Tribolium castaneum: one gene and its partners. The protein of the gene in region 3 purifies or fractionates together with the protein of the main gene of each other region. This does not show direct contact. Links are inferred from orthologs where the notes say so. Each region holds a gene or a part of one and is shown on either strand. Other genes may lie near its edges.

Region 1 (5,068 bases), on a different chromosome or scaffold from region 3:
TTTCAAAAACGCAGCTAAACCCTTCCCGCGATGGGTCCTAATGCCCTTCCACAGTGGTTTAAGCACCGAATCGAAACTCTCAATACCGTACGGTGTCGCAGCCTCGGCTAACGCCGCGATACCTAACGCCGTAATCGTTCGAACTTTTTGCTGTTCGTCGACCAAACCGTGCTCGATAATCTCAACCAATGATTTCAAATGCGGTAAAATAGCGCACCCCATCAATATTGCGATTTGTTGGACGATTTTAATACCAGTATGCCGGGCCTGCCACGATTTTTTCGACCGACAGACGGCTTTCAAAAACGGCAACAACGAGGGGATTCCCAGAGCTGAAGCGACGACGGCAAACGCACGAGCGGTTGTATTTCGGACGTATTCGTCTATATTGTCAATATCGGGCCGCATGGTCGAAATCATGGTTGCCAATCCGGCGGCTTTGGCCAAATTTGAGATAATCTCACGGCCTTCCACACGCGCGTAGTAATCTTCGTCGATGAGCAACGGTTCGATCACCACCAATATTTTGTGGACGTAGGGACGGACTAAATCGTCCAATTTGTACAAAATTCGGTCTATGACTTTGACTAACAAGTGACGTTCTTGGTCCTCCAGAGTTGGACTCATTAAAAGGGGCAAAATTTGGTTAAAAAGGGGCCCTGCACCGAATTCTCGAGCCTTGTCTGTGATTTGCCTCAAGGCGGCTTTTCGCATGGGAGGGGTCCCGTTTTTGATCTTTAGGAGTAGTTTCATTATTTTCCGTTCTTTCTGTTCCTCAGGACTCAAAGCTTCTTCATCAACATCGACCAATAATTTATCAAAATATTGCGCATCTTCTGGTTTCATGAACGGCAAATTCTGCCCTTTTGGTTGATTATCCAGATATTTGGCTGTCTTATCTTCCTGTTGGATGAAAAATCCCTGGGGAGTATTAACCATGGGTGTGGGCGTGGCTGTCAATTTCCTTGCTGGCGTCCTGATGGGTATATACCCAGCCGGAGGTGCCAAAATCTTGTACCCCGGCGGAAACATCGCATCCAATTCCTCATCCGAATACGGCCTATTCCTCTCGTCAATCTCCCGCTCCCATCGATAGGCCTGGAGTTGTTCCGGAGTCATGGACGCCAAGTGTCCCGGAGTGGGCGTCGCCATGGCCATCGCCTTGACTCCGACCGGAGTTGACCCGCCCGGAGTCAGCATCGGAGTGGCATGGCTTGGCGTTCCGTGCGGCGTTTGCGGCGTCATAGCACCCGGAGTCATGTGCGCCGACGGTGTCTGAACAGAGGGAGTTTCATCCCAACGGGAGCGGCGTTTGGACGCTCCCGGAGTCGGTGTTTCGTGAATCAAGTCGGCTCCGGTTCGGTCGGTGCGCGGGGTTTCAGCCCAGCCGCTCGAATGTCCCGGAGTTTCACGCTCGGTTTTGGGTGTTTCATCCCAGCGGTTTCGACGACTGGCACTCTTGTCATGAGCGGGCGTTTCGCGACCTGGAGTTGCAGCCCCGGGGGTCGCGTCCCAGATACGGGTGGATTGGCCGGGGGTGGCGCCCGGCGTTTCACTGCCTTTGTGGCCGGGGGTTTCGTCCCAGCGGTGGTCGGCTGGAGTTTTCTGTAATTTTTTTATTAATAATTGGTTTTAAAAAATTGGGATTGTTACGTCAGCATCCCAGATGGGGGTAGCAGCTGCACTGTTGGTCGTTACGGAGAGAGTTTTCTTTTTGCTGGGGACGACGACTTCGTCTACGGTTTGGTCCCAGCGCCCCCGTTTCTTAGGTGCGCTCTTTACCTCACCGTTTGTTGATTTGAGTGAACCGTCTTTGGATTTTTCCAGAATTTTTTTCCTCAACTGAAATTAAATTACAAGTGGTCAAAGAAATCAACTTTGAGTTAACAAAGGACTCCATTGCCGGACATAATTACGAAAAAAAATTGGCTAGGTGATAAATTTTTGATACTGACCTCGTTTTCTTCTCCTTTGAGCATCTGCTCTTTCATAATCTGGGTGTAACCGCGGGCATTGATGTCTGGTGTTTTGCCACCTGTAAACATAACAGCGTTGAAAAACGCCAATTAGTAAACGGAAGCACTTGTTGGCAAAAAATGGTCAGACTTTTCTATTTAGTATCTGTTCTTTATTGAATGATTGAAAGATTTGGTTGCACCACAATTCACTCAAACTGATTATTTTTCGAATATTGGGGATTGAAAGGGAGTGAATTTGGCGAACAAATCTTGATACGTACGTGTGATTGTGCTCCATCACAAATCAGGCAGTTTCTCGCAAAACAACTGGTCAAATCGAACCTAGAAATAGGCTGGGGTAATTAATAATTTTCTATACATTGCATACACTCTTTCACTCTTGTTCGATTTTCGTTTACCAACGTTACATTTTACGGAAGTGATCCATTAAAATCGCGGCGATTACTTCTCTAGGAAGACACCCCTAAATGTTGGAATCCAATACAGAACAAATTAGTTTCTTTGTACTGATTTTTATTTAATGCCTACTTTCTCGAGTATTTTTGCTCACTCATGCATCCATTCGCTATCTTTCATATACCCCAATAACATACAAAACTTGAGATAAGCGACAGCAACAGCATTATCTCAAATTTCATATAAAACATAAACAAGTGGAAAAACGAGCTATAAATACTTGGACGAAATCAACTACTCACCGTCAGCGAACGGATCAACACGTTCGGGTGAAATAATCATCCGACGCCTCTTTTGCCTGTACTCGTCCTCTCGATCGGCAATCGTGGGCCTCCTCTTGTCAGCAAACGGATCAAAATCCTTGTCGCTCTAAACAACTCAGTTAACTACCACAAAACTTAAATAACACAAATCTCACCTGAGCGACATCATTGAGGAGCGCCACAGGGGCCCCCAGTCCGGTCCGTTTCTGACTATAACCCACATCGTCGTCCTCTTCATCGGCTTCATCGTTGGCGGCGATCGAGGTCACATAACCCTCGTATTTACCCTTACCGCCGCCCCCATCGTAGATCTCACTATCAAAATAGCCACTCTCGCCTAAACCTACACCCTTCTCGTTTCGCTCCTCTTCCACCGGAATTTCCTTCTTTTTAGACTGGATTTCACGAATTTGGGCCTCGATGTCTAGAGACGCAAAAAAGTCATGAAACGGGCTTTTGGGTGCAAAAAACAGCGTACCTTCATGAGTCCTTGGTATCTGTTCCATTTTCTAGCACCAATGCTTGTTGCTTTGGCTTATTTCGTTTCAAAACACTTTCAAGGAAAATCAATGACAAGCTTGCGTTACAAAATGGCGACTCATTAAGCGCCTGCGCGAAAATGGACCAATAGCCAGCCTGTCGCTAAAGTTGGCGGGATTTATAAATAAAATTCGGTGGAATACGTTTAAAAATATATTACGTTTTCTAAATTATTACAAGTATCATGATAATCCCTATAATCACAACAATTCTAAGAAATGTACAACAAAAACTTAAGAGCGTCTTCTTTTGCTATTTTCATAATAGGAATCATCAGATTTTCGCTTCCTGTCCCGTCTGTAGTCATCATTGTTATGCCGTGAGTGCTTTTTGTCCCTCCTTGACCTGTCCTCATCGGAACTTCTTCGCCCATTCTTTTCGTTCCTTTTACTGATTGCTTTCTCCACAATTTCCAGTTTCCTGTAATCAATTAATTAATAGTAAATTAAAAGATCTTTGTACTATTTTTTGTAATTGCCCCCTTTTTGTCGTTTTTAAATAAAAAATATTATTTTAATCGATTTAGGGATTTTTGAATTTTTGTAAAATTGTCATTTGTCAAAATTCAAGGCTAGTATGATTTTGGCAAAATATGGCTATAACTCAGTCTTTCAAATGGAACGATCCTTTTTTCTTAACAGCAATCGAACATCAATATTTATGGTGACTTTTATGAACACGTCCTATACCCATTTCCTACATTTTTAGAAATAATTACAAAAAAAAACACGGATTTTACTTCGTAATTTTCATAGTTAATCAAGTAGACCTTGCAAAATGGTCAACAACTGTCCAACTTTTATTTAGTTTTTAGTTGATTTATTATCAAATAAGCAGTACTTTTATTTAATAGCACAACTTTATCGTATTTTTCGAAAGTTTACTCGATTAAAATTGAAAACAATGAGCTTTTGGTCTTTTTTTTTTGAGATTATTTTAAAAAGTATAAGAGATAGATATAGGAGATATTGATAAAAGTCTCCATAAAAATCGATATCCTTTTGATTACCATTCAAAAATTTGAAAAAACTGTTATAATTACTTTTTGATCAATTTCAAAAAATCATAGTAGTCTTGCAATTTGACATTTGACAATCCTGAAAATTTGAAAAGACCCTTTGAACCTTTGGTTATCGAATACTAATATAATTATTTATTTATTGTAAAAGTTTCAAGAGTTGTGATTTTTTAAATGAACTACTGCAAATGAAAATTTTCGTACAAAAAATTGATATTCGACTAAAAAGTAGAGTACATTGTCCTCAGTTTTAAAGTCGAAACTTACTTAATCAATGCCTTTTTCTCCTCTTTGGACATTAGTTTAAACTCTGACGACTTTTCCTTCTTCTTGTGTTTCTTCTTATCATCTTCCGATTCCTCCTCAGAGCTCGTACTCTGATTCCTCCTCCTGAACTTCCTCTTCCCTGCTTTCTTCCTGTCTTCATCTGAGGAAGCCTCATCTGAATCCCTTCGTTTCTTGTTCTTCTTATCTCTCCCCCCCTTTTCAATCTTCTCCAACTTCTTCAACAACGCCTTCTTCTGCTTCTTCGTCAACGACTTAATAAAAGTCACAACCGAATTCTCATCAGCATCCTCGTTAATAATCAAATCATAATTAGCAGTCCCCGTATTGCTCAAATACTGCTTTTTAATCGCAAGCCCATCCTCCCTCATTTGCTCAACCAACGACTTCTGGTCCAAAATCGAGGCCGACTCGAGCGACCTGGCCACACTGGTCGACAAACTGTACATGGGGCACTCCTTATCCGTGTTAATGTGCCCCCATTTGTGGCACTTGATGCACCTGACGTTCCGCACTTGTATCCCGAA
Region 2 (4,872 bases), on a different chromosome or scaffold from region 3:
AAAAATATATTTAGGGAAAACCGTCCAAATCCAAGCACCTATGAACATGATTTTCCAATGACTGGTAATTATTAAATCCGAACGAGCACTTGGGGCACTGATACCCCTCGGCCCTCGGCGGCTCGTTCCTCGCCCTCAGCCTCTCCACTTCATTCTGCAGTTGTTTGTTCCTCGTTTGCAGATTCTGCAAATCTTCAACAACCTGGTCCTTCTCTTGTTTCATCGCAAGTTTGCTCTTCTTCTCTGCTTCAAAATCGTTCTTATACACTTCGATTTGTTCCTTCAATGCGAACATTTCGTCGTTGGCACTTGTATTTTCTTGAAGTAGTTTACGCAAATCTTCGATTTCTTTAATCTTCTGTTCCCTTTCCTGTTCCAATGCTGTGATTGTCCTTTGGGCAACGCTCAACTGGGCCCGGGATTGGGCATAATCTTCGGCCAAACGCGGGTTGTACTTGTCTTGGAGCTCCTTAAGTTGCGATTTTAGGGTTTTTATCTCATCACTGAGGGTGGATTCGACGAAAGCGGTGCGTTGTTGTTCTTCCTTCAGTTTCAAGATTTCCGTTTCTTTCAGTTTGAGGAGCTGGTCGTAGGTTTGGGCTGCCGTCGATGATTGGACGAGTTTTGCGTTTTCTTTTGTTAAATTATCCAATTTTGATTGGAGGTCGGTGGTTGTTGTCTTCATTGACTGGATTTCGTCAATTAGGTCGCTTTCGCGATTTTTTGCGGCGAGAATATCCAGTTTAAAGTCGTCAATTTGTTGCTGCTTGGTTTGTAATTCCTGTTCAAGGTTCGGTACATTCACCAATTTTTGCGTCAGTCTTTCAATTTCTTCCTGTTTCAGTTCTAAATCCTTCATCATTGCTAATTTCCTTGTGTCAACAACTGAAAAGTTGGGGCCGTTGGTCAAATTTTCCAATTCCTTAAGCTTCAGTTTCAAATTCAAGATTTCTTCTTCATGGAGCTTTTTAAGATTGATGTAAACTTCAACGTCACTAACCAACTTTGCATTTTCTTCTTTATACTTATCTATGCACATTTTGGCATCGTTGAACTTATCTTTGTAGGACTTCATCACATTGGTGACCTCATCCCTGTAGGCCAAAAACCTCGTATACTGCGCCTTCATACTCATGTTATTTTGTGCGATGATATTCTTCAACTTTTCGTTTTCCTTAATCAGTTCTTCCACTTGTTTTTGAATCTCTTCATACGACGAATCCGGCGATATTGCAATACTTGCAACTGAGGGCACAATCGCATCAACAGCTGCTGGTAATTCTGGCAACGGATCAACGGTAATTTGTGATATTTTCATCCTGATTAGATTTTCCATTTCGTGAACCTTATTTGTCCTTATTGGGGGCAAGATTTCGTCCCTTGGAGGGCTGCAAGACAAACTTTCGCTGATGGAATTTGAAGTTTCCAAAACGACAAATGAATCTTCATCATCGGACCCGATTGACGGAACCATGGACTCTGCAGTGTTTTTCACAGCAACGAAGGACTCGTCACGACTCATTTTTGATGACTTTCAAGTTTTAACAACAGCTGCAGTACAACACTACATTTGCGGCGCAAAATAGAATGAATTAGAACATAGAATATGAAAATACCAAACTACTGACACACGATTAAAGACACTGCTACCAACCGGACCAATAAAAAGTCGCCTTAGCCTTAATTTAATTTTTTAAGAATATTAAAGCTCTAAAAATGTTATTGTGGCATAACTATTTACGTAAAATTTCATTTGGGACACAACTGTAGTCGTAAAAAAATTGTAAAGTCAAAGAAAAACCGCTTAGTGATTTTCTAGTGTGACAATAATGGTGCACCTCTCTCTTATTCTACGCTGACATTTTGTCATTTTTTGACAGTCGACATTTGATGGCGTCGGGTAAATAAATAATTTTCGCAATTTTCTAAAAAAAGTCGCAATGGAGACGATTTTGGAGCAACAACGGCGTTATCACGAGGAAAAAGAGCGTCTCATTGACGCAATGGTTAAAGAAATTTTACATAAAAAAACAACGGTAAGTTGTGATTCTCGTGGCGCTTTGCCCCCTGACAGAGTCTTTGTTTTAGTACCGCGAGGCAATAAACTCGGACTATCGCCTTAAATTTCTGCTAGACAAATATATGACCTCCACTGATCGTTTGATTGAGCTGTATGAGGACAAGGACGGGCAAAGAAAAGCGGAAGTCGCTGCCCTTACAGGTCCAAATGAGTTTCAGGAGTTTTACAATCGTCTCAAGCAGATTAAAGATTTTTACAGGAAGCATCCTAATGAGGTATAGTTTTTGAATATTTTGTGTGTTTGTGTAATGATTTTTTTCTCAGATAAGTATTCCAATGTCTGTTGAGTTCGATGAACTAGCCAAAGCGCGTGAAAATCCCACTGAAGAAATGGCAAGTGAGTCTTGCTAGGCTCGTGTGATCACAGTTGTTTAATTACGTTTGTTTTTTCAAGATTTGGTTGAATTTACGGATGAGGAAGGTTATGGGAAATATTTGGATTTGCACGAATGTTACGAGAAATATATCAATTTGAAAGGCATTGAAAAGGTTGATTATATCACATATTTGGGCACTTTTGACCAGCTCTATGACATTCCTAAAGAACGCAAAACTGGAGAATATCGCAAATATTTGCTTTGCTTGATTGAGTATTTAACTTGGTTCGTGCAAAGAGTCAAACCTTTGATGGACATTGATGCTGATTTGCAAAACGAAGTTGATAATGTTATGGTCCAGTGGGAGAATGGGACTGTTCCAGGATGGCCCGTAATTTGGTAAAAAACTAATTTATTTTTACTACTTCATTTACTTTCAGAAAGAGACAGGGTCGGCCTTGGCGAACGTTGGGGCCCATTTAGACTTGTCCGCATTTTCAAGTTGGGAGGAATTGGCTTCTTTAGGTTTGGACAGATTGAAGTCGGCCCTAATGGCTCTTGGTTTAAAATGTGGCGGGTAATTATTTACGTCTTGCCATAAATAAAATTCTAATTATTTATTTAGGACGTTGGAAGAGCGTGCCCAGCGTTTATTTTCAACCAAGGGCAAAGGCTCACTAGATCCGTCTCTAATGACTAAAAACAAATCTGGCAAAGCCAGTAAGGAAAAGGAGCAAATGAGACAAAGAGAACTGGCCTGTCTTGAGGCACAAGTTTATAGGTTGGCCGAGCTGGTCGCCCCTCAACGCGCGGCAACTAAGGAAAATGTCCAGAGAAAACAAGCGCGGACGGATGGTGAAAGAGACGATAGTGAAAATGAGGAGAGTGAGGAGGAAAGTCCCGATGAAGCCGACGATGACGTTCCCTACAACCCCAAAAACTTACCTTTGGGCTGGGATGGAAAAGTATGTGATTTTGAAAGTAAGTTGGTAAAATTGATTGTTTCGTAATTGCAGCCGATTCCATACTGGTTGTACAAACTCCACGGTTTGAATATCAGTTACAACTGCGAAATTTGCGGCAATTACGTCTATAAAGGACCAAAGGCGTTTCAAAGACACTTTGCGGAGTGGAGACACGCTCATGGAATGCGCTGTCTGGGAATCCCCAATACCGCGCATTTTGCCAACGTGACGCAAATTGAGGATGCCCTAGCACGTAAGAAGTTGCAATTTTGGTTTCTTACCTTGTTACGGTTGTTTTCCAGTGTGGGAGAAGCTCAAAGTGCAAAAACAGGCAGAGCGTTGGCAACCTGAAACAGAGGAAGAGTACGAGGATTCGCAAGGGAACGTCGTTAACAGAAAGACTTACGAGGATCTTAAAAGACAAGGTTTATTGTAATTTGTGCTGTATTAACAATAAGTATCAATAAAAAACATAAACAAAACTTTAAATATTGACATTTTATTTTGATGGTCGCCTTGGGAAGGGGAATTTTCGACTGTTCGTTAGCACGAACGTACAAAACTGAGCCCGAAATAGGGATAGAGAGAGTGAAAATTATTCCTGTTACTTAAGAAATTATTCAGTAGTTTCTGCGTAAATAAATAATAATTTAAGTACTCATTTAGCGTGTTTTTAGAGTTCGGTTGAATGCACAGTCGGCTGCAATTTTTCTCACTTACCGAACGATGCGCATTTGTTTGTGCCTGTGATTTGACCAGATTTGACTTTGACACATAAGTGGGTAAATTCATCCAAATAGGTTTGTGATTTTATTCAACCTTTAATCACTAATTCTTTAATCATCAGAGTCTAATTTCTATAATGTGCGAGCTAAAATGGACGTATTAAATGCGGTATACAACTTAAACAATGAAGAAACCCTCAAGTCCAGTTGGTTCGGTGAGGTCTTCTCGAGTTTTTCGACTCAAGAGACGTACCAGGTAAGAAAACTGCGATTTGAATCAGTTTTTGCGTAATCACGGGGTTCCAGTGGGGCTTCCAGCTACTGCCCGTGTTACTGGCAGCGATTTTCGCAACGATAATTTCAGTAACGTATTTTTGCATACGAAAATGCCACCGAAAAGGTACAAATTAGTGTTTAGTTGTCTCGGTTGTAATAATTTGATTTAGCTCTTTTTGCGCGACAATTGAAATCCGAAGAGGCAAGTGCAAGGTTCAGGAAGAGGGATAAAGCGTTGTTTTACGGGCGCAAAATGTTACGCAAGGTGAAAAATATTTCGGGCCAAGTGCGGAACTCCGGTCAGGGCAGGAAAAGGAAAATGGTGATGAAATTCGCGAGACGGATTTTACAACTAAAGAAGGAAAATGATACGGAACAATTGAAGGTATTTAATATGTAACCAGATCTCGGCGTTACACAAGTGCGTGAAAGCAAGGACACGAGATAATTTCTAGGAATTTATAAACAATTGTTTAGGTTCTGGAACCGCCTGTTGAATATTTACAAGA
Region 3 (3,700 bases):
ACTTTCATAAGATAGCTCGTTCTTATCAATTTACCGCATTCGCAAAAATTGGAAAAATCAAAAAATATTGCCAGTGAGTTAATTTTTTTTTCATTTTTATGTAGGTAAGTGTTTTAACTGTTAAAATTTTAAACAAAAAGAAATCAAAACTTTAAATTTAAATGCAAAGACTGCATTTGTGGGTTATTTATTTTTTGTGAATATATTTTTTTAATTAATATCAAAGTAGGCTACCGATTAAGTTTTTGTACTTTTTGTCAAAATGACAAAGTTTTCAATCTCGCAAGACTACAACCCCAGTTTACAAAAATACAAACTGGTTTTTCTGGGCGAACAAAGCGTTGGAAAAACTTCGATTATAACGAAATTCATGTACGACAGCTTCGACACCGCTTATCAGGCAACAGTCGGTATCGATTTTCTATCAAAAACAATGTATTTAACCGACAAAACCGTGCGTTTACAACTGTGGGACACAGCCGGTCAGGAGCGCTTCCGCTCTTTAATCCCTGCCTACATAAGAGACTCTTCAGTGGCTGTGGTGGTCTTTGATGTGACCAACATTGAAACCTTCCACCAAACCACAAAATGGATTAATGACGTGCGAATGGAACGCGGAGACTCCGTTATTGTGTTTCTGGTCGGCAACAAAGTCGACTTGAAGGACTTGAGACAAGTCAGTATAGAAGAGGGCGAACAAAAAGCGAAAGAATTGAACGTCACGTTCGTAGAGACGAGCGCCAAAGTTGGTTTGAACATTAAACAGCTATTTAAGCGAATTACTGAAAGTTTGGTGGTTTGTGAGGAACCAAAGAGTGATAATAGCAGTGAACTACAGGAAGTTAGTTTGGGGAAAAATGGCTTGGTTACGATTGACAACAGTTGCGCCTGTTAATTAAGAACAACTCGTTTTGTGAAACATTTATTTACAATAATTAATTGATACAATCTTATTTATTTAATTAAAAAAATAGTAACATAAAGAAAATTAAACCCCTTTCCTCCACTTTTCCGCTGTGGTAAACTCAGTCATCGGCTTGCCACTTATCCCACAAGTGCCAATCCCCACGCGTCCGTTCACCGAATCAGGCGACGCGAAAATACTCTTATTAGTGAGTCCGCTTTTTTTGTTTTTCACGGCTTTATTCGTAAAAGCCAGCCACTTGTTTTTCTCAACTTCTCTCTCTTCCTCCAATTCTTTGAATCTCTGCTGTTTCTTCAGCTTCTTCTTTTTGAGATATTCGCGGTTATTCATCATTTTGATGCGTTTCAAGCGTTCAGCTTCAGTCAGAACTCGTTTCGCTCCTGTGAATTCTTTAATTTCCGCTAAGGTAGAAACCCCCCGATTTTTATAAGCTTCAAATGTCACATTTACCTGTCCGTCCGGATGGATAGCATCGATACGGGCTTCGTAATATTGGCCGTTATCGTTCCATTTCGCGAGACAGGTGTCGCCAATCCGCCAGATTTTCTTTGATTTGTTACGAGCAACGAACTGCTCAACGGCCAGGAGCGACTTGGTTATCTCGTCTTCTTCAGGCACCCCAATCGGTTCGGTGTACTCGGGCTGATTTGCCGCCTCATCTGCCTTATTCTTCAAATCAAGGGACAATTCAATTACTTCCTCCAAGTCCACTTTGAGCTTTTGCAGCTCTTTGTTGTCGGGGTCGCTCAGAAGCGCGGCTTCGACTTGTTGTAATTGCAGGCGGTAGTTTTGCAACTCGTCCATCGTTCAGGTTGCAAAAAACGTACAAACTTACCAAAAAACTCGCCGTTATTTAATAAAATTATTGACAAGTTCAATACGTCAATAAATCGGCGGCCATTTGCAATCTTTCACGGTTTGTAGGGATTTTGACGTTACCAAGGCGTCACAAAAACCATCTTATAAAATAAAAACTTATCGTGATTATCACAAATACGCCCTAATTCACGTTTTTGAGTCGCTTGATTGTGTTTCGTATTTTTTCTATGTGTAAAAAGGCCGTTTTGGCGAGAAACGTGTTTGTTTGGCGGCGCTGCTGTCGCAGAAAAATCACCAAAGCGTCAAACAAGCCCCCTTGGTATTTTTTGATTGTTTGACGTTTTTGGGGGGGTTGTAGCGTCCCCCCAAAGTCAGGTGTACAAATGTGTGCTAAACAATTAAATTAAGTGATCGTTACCACGTTAAACTTTCGTAATGGCAAGTGTTATTTCCCTCTCGAGTGCATCGTTGAACGCTTCCCCCAAAAACACCGATTCTCCTGTGACTGTTCTAACCCTAAGTTCGGAAATACACCGAGTTCCCGTGAGTTGGGACGGCCACAAAGGTGCCAAAAGGACGTCCAAGGTCTTGGACTCTGATAACACCCCCAATCATTACGAAAAAGTCAAAGAATGGATAGATACGACCAAGTACGATGATCTGGGGCCCCCTAATGAGAATAAAAGCGTTTGTATCCGCTATGATTTCGATAAAAGCGAGAAAATCACAATAAATGTGCCGAAATCATGTTTTACGCGAGTCACTCCCTTGTTTTCTTATATGGAACAGGCCAAAAAAGCGGCTCTGAGTGACGAGAAAAAAAGCCAGGAATGTACAGCAAAAGTCAATGGAAATTTAAACTTTGAAACTCCCCTAAGCCCAGAAAGCCAGAAAAAGGAACTTTGCAGTTACTTACAGCTAATGAAACCTGGCGAAAAGAAACAGAAGAAACTGTTATTCGGAAACAGACGATCGAAGCGAGTCAAGAATTTAGTCCAAAACCACCAAAAAACGTGTTCAGAAAACGACATAAACACCTTCCCCACCCTCAAATCATTCGAAGATTTGAACATTTTTGAGTCGAAGAAGAAAAAAGAAACGCCCAATAAATATTTACCATTGCCCCCAAAGTCAAAATTTAGCGAATTTGTTGATTTTGAGGACTCGGTTCGTAAGATTGTCGAAAGTGTCAAGTTGAGGAGTAAAGTGACAAAGCGCCGAAAATTTAATTGGGGGCTCAAATCGCATCAGTTTAATTTCAAACGAATTAATTCACTACGTAGCAAAGGTCGGCTCAGGTTCATTTCTTTGGATCGGCTCATTTTGCGTAAAAGTCGGAAACGGCGGAAAAAATTTCTCAAGAAAGATTCACCACAAAAAAATGCATGTCCCCACTGTGATTCGGTGGAGAAACAACAACGTTGCGAAATCGTCTCGGTTCATACGAATTCGGATGATGAAAATATCGATTTGAAAAATTTCGTTGACGATATGTTAGAGTTGGATAAAATGAGTGAAGAGCACAGGAAAAGTGTGATCGAGACACGAATCTTGGCTTCCAGTTCGATTACCAACCTTATAAACAAACAAATGGCACAAGAAGCCGATGTCCAGAAGGCCTACAAAATTTTTGCCGACTTGTCCGAAAAGAAAACCACAGAAGAGAAGGAAAATAAAGATCTAGTCACTGATTTTGTTCTCATTGAACATGATTATGCAAAAATTGGCGAATTACCAAGTCAGGTGGAAGAAATTAACGAACTAACTCACGAAGAATCGGTCAAAATTAGCGAACCATCAACTGAAGAAGATCAAGAATCGGCCAAAATTAACGAATTATCAACGGAGGAAGAAGATGAAGAGTCGGTGCAAAACAGTCTTAGCCCTGTCCCTATTCCGGACCTGGAAGTGCTCCCTGTTAACACAGACATTGAGATCAAATCACTGCATCGAAGT

Evidence for each region. Proteins that work in one complex are often made in the same cells at the same time.
Region 1: the proteins of Spf30 (region 3) and Sf3b1 purify together in Homo sapiens (co-immunoprecipitation; 5 studies listed by BioGRID and IntAct, with this or other methods). This does not show direct contact. The link is inferred for Tribolium castaneum from reciprocal best matches to the Homo sapiens genes SMNDC1 and SF3B1.
Region 2: the proteins of Spf30 (region 3) and noi purify together in Homo sapiens (affinity purification with mass spectrometry; 3 studies listed by BioGRID and IntAct, with this or other methods). This does not show direct contact. The link is inferred for Tribolium castaneum from reciprocal best matches to the Homo sapiens genes SMNDC1 and SF3A3.

What each region holds. Positions count from the first base shown.
Region 1 is NC_087395.1:16,039,633-16,044,700, reverse strand, and holds the start of Sf3b1 (splicing factor 3B subunit 1), read right to left. Parts: upstream 3,322-5,068; 5' UTR 3,205-3,321; coding exon 3,177-3,204; intron 3,123-3,176; coding exon 2,854-3,122; intron 2,805-2,853; coding exon 2,678-2,804; intron 2,673-2,677; exon of another isoform or gene 2,240-2,672; intron 2,036-2,239; coding exon 1,956-2,035; intron 1,843-1,955; coding exon 1,654-1,842; intron 1,606-1,653; coding exon 1-1,605. Other genes in the region: corepressor interacting with RBPJ 1, read right to left, coding at 3,472-3,658, 4,524-5,068. UniProt on the Homo sapiens protein: Component of the 17S U2 SnRNP complex of the spliceosome, a large ribonucleoprotein complex that removes introns from transcribed pre-mRNAs.
Region 2 is NC_087397.1:5,205,699-5,210,570, reverse strand, and holds noi (splicing factor 3A subunit 3), read left to right. Parts: upstream 1-1,797; 5' UTR 1,798-1,940; coding exon 1,941-2,036; intron 2,037-2,088; coding exon 2,089-2,295; intron 2,296-2,344; coding exon 2,345-2,417; intron 2,418-2,474; coding exon 2,475-2,788; intron 2,789-2,837; coding exon 2,838-2,974; intron 2,975-3,022; coding exon 3,023-3,362; intron 3,363-3,413; coding exon 3,414-3,615; intron 3,616-3,664; coding exon 3,665-3,798; 3' UTR 3,799-3,851; downstream 3,852-4,872. Other genes in the region: NF-kappa-B essential modulator, read right to left, coding at 11-1,522; neuropathy target esterase sws, read left to right, coding at 4,239-4,343, 4,394-4,487, 4,534-4,748, 4,841-4,872. UniProt on the Homo sapiens protein: Component of the 17S U2 SnRNP complex of the spliceosome, a large ribonucleoprotein complex that removes introns from transcribed pre-mRNAs.
Region 3 is NC_087399.1:319,367-323,066, reverse strand, and holds Spf30 (survival of motor neuron-related-splicing factor 30), read right to left. Parts: upstream 1,874-3,700; 5' UTR 1,730-1,873; coding exon 989-1,729; 3' UTR 910-988; downstream 1-909. Other genes in the region: ras-related protein Rab6, read left to right, coding at 263-895; uncharacterized protein LOC103314146, read left to right, coding at 2,180-3,700. UniProt on the Homo sapiens protein: Involved in spliceosome assembly.